Saccharomyces cerevisiae S288C: one gene and its partner. The protein of the gene in region 2 interacts with the protein of the main gene of each other region in a biochemical or structural test. Each region holds a gene or a part of one and is shown on either strand. Other genes may lie near its edges. The genes, in order: MIA40 and TIM9.

Region 1 (3,971 bases), on a different chromosome or scaffold from region 2:
GTACAAGAGGCCAATTATGATTCATAGAGCTACTTTTGGTTCTATCGAAAGATTTATGGCTTTACTGATAGATTCTAATGAGGGCCGTTGGCCGTTTTGGTTGAATCCTTACCAAGCTGTAATTATTCCCGTCAATACGAAAAATGTGCAACAGCTAGACATGTGCACTGCCTTGCAGAAAAAACTACGTAATGAACTGGAAGCCGACGACATGGAACCAGTTCCTTTAAATGATTGGCATTTCAATGTTGATCTCGACATAAGAAACGAACCCGTAGGGTATAGGATCAAGTCGGCCATTTTGAAAAACTATTCCTATTTAATTATCGTGGGTGATGAGGAAGTACAGTTACAGAAATACAACATTCGAGAACGTGATAATAGAAAGAGTTTCGAGAAACTTACAATGTCTCAAATTTGGGAAAAATTTATTGAGCTGGAAAAAAACTACAAGTAACTTAAAATATATGACAAACTTGCCCTGTAAATAAAAGGATACGATTTGATGTATAGCTGGATTCATACAGAGACTAGACTCATCCGCCCCACAGATGCATTAATTCATGTATATTTCACATATTATACCATATGTAGTCATTAAACTAAGATAATATTACTGTATTTACATGTATCATCCTTTATACTTTTATACTTTTTACGTTCGGGAGATTTTCAGGAGATTTTAAGGTTTGGATTCCTCATTCAATGGTTCTTTTTTCACATCTGATTGCTCTGCTTTTTTCGCAGCATTTTCCTTTGCGCTTGAAACATTTGGCGCTGATTCTATTGTGTTGACCTTTACTTTGTCTTGAGGTTCCTCATCATCAGATGTTTCCTTTAGTTGTTCTGCATAATGCTCGGGGTATTTTCTGAAACAGTCTTGCATATGTTGAAACTTTTCAACACAGTCGATACCTTTTGGTTCAGCTTCAGAATAGACGAAGCAAGAAAATGCAGATTTGAACTCTTCACCACAGGGTCCATGGGCCATACCTCCCAAGCAAGGACAGTCCCAATTTATCTCACCAGTGTCTGGGTTATAAGCACCTTCGTGTTGAACCTCTTCTTCAGTAGGACCCATTTGCTTTTCCTCTTGTTTTCTTAGTTCTTCTTTCTCTTCATCGCTAGATTCAGATTGCTTAGCTGAATTTTCCGAGTCACTTACAGTTTTTTTTGAGGATTCTTCTTCTCCATTATTATCTTCAGTAGTTGTCTTGTCATCAGATTGTCCCTGTTGCGATTTTTCATCATCTGAATGTTCTGGATCTTTTTTTTCAGAAGATCCAGCATTGTTGTCTAGTGTTTTGTCACTAGTATTTTCTTCCGAGTTCTCAGAACTTATGTTTTCATCCTTTTGATTGTTAGCGGTGGCATTGTCTTCATTGGATTGCTCATCATCTTTGGTTGATACCTTTGATTCATCAGTATCTTTATCTTCGGAAGACTTGTTGTCTTCTTCTGCTAGAACAACCAATTCACCATCTTCAGCTACTTTTGAAGCACCAATTTTATCACCCCCTAATTGAGGGCCAGCTTCAGTTTCATCGTTTTTGCTGTCGTTGTCATCTCCATTTTCATCGCTTTTGCTGTTGTTGTCATCTTCATTTTCTGGTGATTGCTCACCACCACTGGAAAGCTCTTCCTCTGCGGTTTTATCGGATTCTACCTTCCTTGAGGCGAAAAGAGGCTTCCTATTAGGAGCAATAAAATATAAAGCACCAGCCATAGAAAGAATCCCCATTATAAAGCCCGCTGTTTTTTCCTGATTGGAGTTCCTACCGAACTGAGGGGAGGACGCCATGAGACGTCTTGTTTGGTGTCGGCATAACCCCCTTGCCACTTGAATTGACGGCCTGTTTCTGCACGCATTCCTGACGACTAAGTTGCGAAGCATTTTACTGATAATATACACTCTTTGGATCGAGCCTACTTCCAGTTGGTAATTGGTGTTCCACAATTTCAGCATTATATGTTTTTAAACCAAAATTCGGCTCCTTTTCCCTTTTTTTCTTATTGGGTGGCGTGCCGTACAGAACGATTGGCTTGGTGTGAAATCAAGAGCAAGCACAATAGATATCAACATGAACAATATACAAAAGTCTCTGGCACAGTTTGACTGCGTTAGACCAGGCTAGGGCATTTCTGAAGCTTTACGTATCACTAGAGAAGTTATTTTGGCAATGAGAATCTACTACATCGGTGTATTTCGCTCTGGAGGAGAAAAGGCTCTAGAGTTGAGTGAAGTTAAAGACTTGTCACAATTTGGTTTCTTTGAAAGGTCTAGTGTTGGCCAGTTTATGACTTTTTTTGCTGAAACGGTCGCTTCTAGAACTGGTGCAGGACAAAGACAAAGTATAGAAGAAGGCAACTATATTGGCCACGTTTATGCCAGGAGTGAGGGCATATGTGGTGTTTTGATCACCGACAAAGAATATCCTGTCAGACCAGCATACACACTATTAAACAAAATATTGGATGAATATTTAGTCGCACATCCTAAGGAAGAGTGGGCAGATGTGACTGAGACCAATGATGCATTGAAAATGAAGCAACTGGACACTTACATTAGCAAATATCAAGATCCTTCACAGGCTGACGCTATCATGAAAGTTCAACAAGAACTGGATGAGACGAAAATCGTTTTGCACAAAACGATTGAGAATGTTTTACAAAGAGGTGAAAAGTTGGATAATTTGGTGGACAAATCGGAGTCATTAACGGCAAGTTCCAAAATGTTTTATAAGCAAGCTAAAAAATCCAATTCGTGTTGCATCATCATGTAGATGCATCCACACACTATTTTCAGCATAGTGTGGCTTTTCATCTGCTTTATGTAATTTAGAAAGCCAATGACAGCAGCAAGGGAAACAAAAATCTTTTAAATCAAATTAATTGTTTAAATAATATACTATGTAAGCATCGATTCTCCTAACTATTATAACCAAAGGTTGATTTGAAGCCATTGGCATTGTATTAGAATTGATTTGTTTCTTCAGTGTAAAAAAGTTAAAAATAAGCGACCCCAGTGAGGGTTGAACTCACGATCTTGCGATTAACAGTCGCACGCCTTAACCAACTTGGCCATGGAGTCTAATTGCTATATTTTTCTTTTGAAAACAAGATATATAAATAATGCTTGAGCTGGAGCATTTACGTTGTAAATGTATAATTAGTGTAAGAAACCGCTGGGCCCTATTTGTTGATGAAGTATTTACTTAAATGTAACAGAATATACTGGAAGTCCCCCCTCGGGCACATGGAAATTCACTAAAAGGAATTGGTAATGCATATGATATTACTACCGTTTCTCATTTCACTTTATATGCTTTCAGTGATTGTGTTACTACGTGACAGTTCTTACAATTCAGCGCCGTTACTCTCTATGAGTGCTCTCATTATTTATATCATATTCTTACACTTCATACAATTATATATACTCGTACCATGGATATTAGAGGATAGTTGGTTTTTGTTTAAACTAATTCTATGTAACCTCGATGGCATGAGTCCATAATACTGTACTGGCGTATGCCCTTGTTTGTGGTCTTTGTGCAACCATTTCAGGCTTTCTTATTTGCACAGGGCAGTTGCGACCCTGATAAAAAAAAATGGCTGATCAATCGGCGTGGACAAAAAAAAACATCGATTTCTATATTCATGGTAATCTGTCGAATTCTCCAACCAAGTTAGCTGGACTTTATTGTCTTATATCCGATTACTATCGCGATTTATTCTTGTGCGTAGCCGCAATTATAAAGGTCCGGAATATCTCTCCGACTATTGTCATCGTCGAATTTCTTCTGGAAGGGACGGCAGTAACAAGAAACACCTGAGGAACTGCTCTTTCAAATGACGACGACCAAGAGGTTGAAGTTTGAGAATCTGAGAATCCAATTCTCCAATGCCATAGTAGGAAACTTTTTAAGGTTACCGCATTCAATTATAAACGTGTTAGAGTCAACCAACTACGC
Region 2 (3,046 bases):
GTACGCTGTGGTGCTCGCGGCTGGGAACGAAACTCTGGGAGCTGCGATTGGCAGTGGAACAGTGGTAATTCCTACGATTAAGAAACCTGTTTACAGAAGGATCCCCACCTATGGGCGGGTTATCAGATATTATCAGGTGGGAAATTCGGTGGAACACAGTGGAGCCTTGTCCTCCGGGTTAATGTCGCTTTTGGCATTGGCCCCTGCTCCTGAGAGAAGAAATATACTGGGGAACCAGTCTTTACCGACCGTTGTTATCAGAAATTCACGGAGTTCGGCCTAGGTCGGACTCCGATGGGAACGGCAACGGTTGTTCCGTTTGACTTGTCGCCCGCTACGGCGTGAGCGTCAAGGTCTGTTGAGTGCAATCGTAGGACGTCATTAGTGGCGAACCCGATACCGATTACTGCTGCTGTTCCAGCCCATATCCAACTTCCAATTTAATCTTTCTTTTTTAATTTTCACTTATTTGCGATACAGAAAGAAAAAAGCGATAGTAACTATTGAATTTTGTTTGGATTTGGTTAGATTAGATATGGTTTCTCTTTATATTTACATGCTAAAAATGGGCTACACCAGAGATACATAATTAGATATATATACGCCAGTACACCTTATCGGCCCAAGCCTTGTCCCAAGGCAGCGTTTTGTTCTTGGAAACGCTGCCCTACACGTTCGCTATGCTTCAAGAACTTTTCTGAGCACTTCATGATGCATGTTTGTTCCTTATTGGTTAGCTTTGATGTTGTGAAGTCATTGACACAGTCTGTGAAACATCTTTCTACCAGATTAGAGTACAAACGCATGAAATCCTTCATTTGCTTTTGTTCCACTACTTTTTGGAACTCTTGTTGTTCTTTGGAGTTCAATGCGTCCATCTTTACAGTCCTGTCTTATTGTTCTTGATTTGTGCCCCGTAAAATACTGTTACTTGGTTCTGGCGAGGTATTGGATAGTTCCTTTTTATAAAGGCCATGAAGCTTTTTCTTTCCAATTTTTTTTTTTTCGTCATTATAGAAATCATTACGACCGAGATTCCCGGGTAATAACTGATATAATTAAATTGAAGCTCTAATTTGTGAGTTTAGTATACATGCATTTACTTATAATACAGTTTTTTAGTTTTGCTGGCCGCATCTTCTCAAATATGCTTCCCAGCCTGCTTTTCTGTAACGTTCACCCTCTACCTTAGCATCCCTTCCCTTTGCAAATAGTCCTCTTCCAACAATAATAATGTCAGATCCTGTAGAGACCACATCATCCACGGTTCTATACTGTTGACCCAATGCGTCTCCCTTGTCATCTAAACCCACACCGGGTGTCATAATCAACCAATCGTAACCTTCATCTCTTCCACCCATGTCTCTTTGAGCAATAAAGCCGATAACAAAATCTTTGTCGCTCTTCGCAATGTCAACAGTACCCTTAGTATATTCTCCAGTAGCTAGGGAGCCCTTGCATGACAATTCTGCTAACATCAAAAGGCCTCTAGGTTCCTTTGTTACTTCTTCCGCCGCCTGCTTCAAACCGCTAACAATACCTGGGCCCACCACACCGTGTGCATTCGTAATGTCTGCCCATTCTGCTATTCTGTATACACCCGCAGAGTACTGCAATTTGACTGTATTACCAATGTCAGCAAATTTTCTGTCTTCGAAGAGTAAAAAATTGTACTTGGCGGATAATGCCTTTAGCGGCTTAACTGTGCCCTCCATGGAAAAATCAGTCAAGATATCCACATGTGTTTTTAGTAAACAAATTTTGGGACCTAATGCTTCAACTAACTCCAGTAATTCCTTGGTGGTACGAACATCCAATGAAGCACACAAGTTTGTTTGCTTTTCGTGCATGATATTAAATAGCTTGGCAGCAACAGGACTAGGATGAGTAGCAGCACGTTCCTTATATGTAGCTTTCGACATGATTTATCTTCGTTTCCTGCAGGTTTTTGTTCTGTGCAGTTGGGTTAAGAATACTGGGCAATTTCATGTTTCTTCAACACCACATATGCGTATATATACCAATCTAAGTCTGTGCTCCTTCCTTCGTTCTTCCTTCTGCTCGGAGATTACCGAATCAAAAAAATTTCAAAGAAACCGGAATCAAAAAAAAGAACAAAAAAAAAAAAGATGAATTGAAAAGCTTTATGGACCCTGAAACCACAGCCACATTAACCTTCTTTGATGGTCAAAACTTATCCTTCACCATAAATATGCCTCGCAAAAAAGGTAATTAACATATATAGAATTACATTATTTATGAAATATCATCACTATCTCTTAGCATCTTTAATCCTTTTCTACATCAGATAACTTCGGTTTGTTATCATCGTCTGTATTGTCATCAATTGGCGCAGTAGCCTCAATTTCAACGTCGTTTGACTCTGGTGTTTGTTCATGTGCAGATCCATGAGATGATGAACCGTTGCCCTTCTCAATACTCTTCTTATCAAGTATTAATTGCTGTAGCTTTTTTTCAATATCTGAGTCCTCTACAAATTTATTGAAAATACTCAAAATTTTCAAAAACGTTTCGTTGCTTGTCTTCCCTAGTTTCAAATAATGCAAATAAACATTTGAAATTATTGTTAATATGGATGAAATGAGGATTTTCTGGTCTTCCTGTGTTTCACTCGAATTTAGCAACGGTAGTAATCCGCCCTCAATTAATTCTTCTACCGATTCCATCTCATTAGTTGGAATTTCGATTTTATTGATGAGCGTCTGCTCTAGCGTTACCACTGCAAATTCACTTATCTGCTTACACGGATTGATGCATTGATGTGCCAAAGCTTGAATAATAGCGAATATCTCGTTTTTACGCAGATCGTTATTATCTTCCAGCAAGTGTGATGTTAGTTGAATGGATTTCAATGATAATTCGATCGATTTCTTGTATGGATTCTCCTTATCAATTTTATGACCACTTTCTGTCAATTTCTTGTATTCTATTTCCCAGTGATTTCCAACGGCACCCATTGATGAAATTTCATCTAATAGTCCTAGGACCCACATGAAGTTCTCATTTGTCAAAATATTGCTGTCTG

Evidence for each region.
Region 1: the proteins of TIM9 (region 2) and MIA40 form a complex in vitro, tested with the Saccharomyces cerevisiae proteins (4 studies listed by BioGRID).

What each region holds. Positions count from the first base shown.
Region 1 is NC_001143.9:73,744-77,714, reverse strand, and holds MIA40 (Mia40p), read right to left. Parts: upstream 1,895-3,971; coding exon 683-1,894; downstream 1-682. Other genes in the region: threonine--tRNA ligase MST1, read left to right, coding at 1-457; palmitoyltransferase YKT6, read left to right, coding at 2,181-2,783; PEX1 (AAA family ATPase peroxin 1), read left to right, coding at 3,850-3,971. UniProt on the Saccharomyces cerevisiae protein: Required for the import and folding of small cysteine-containing proteins (small Tim) in the mitochondrial intermembrane space (IMS). Forms a redox cycle with ERV1 that involves a disulfide relay system.
Region 2 is NC_001137.3:115,043-118,088, reverse strand, and holds TIM9 (protein transporter TIM9), read right to left. Parts: upstream 879-3,046; coding exon 615-878; downstream 1-614. Other genes in the region: URA3 (orotidine-5'-phosphate decarboxylase), read right to left, coding at 1,119-1,922; Arf family guanine nucleotide exchange factor GEA2, read right to left, coding at 2,289-3,046. UniProt on the Saccharomyces cerevisiae protein: Mitochondrial intermembrane chaperone that participates in the import and insertion of multi-pass transmembrane proteins into the mitochondrial inner membrane.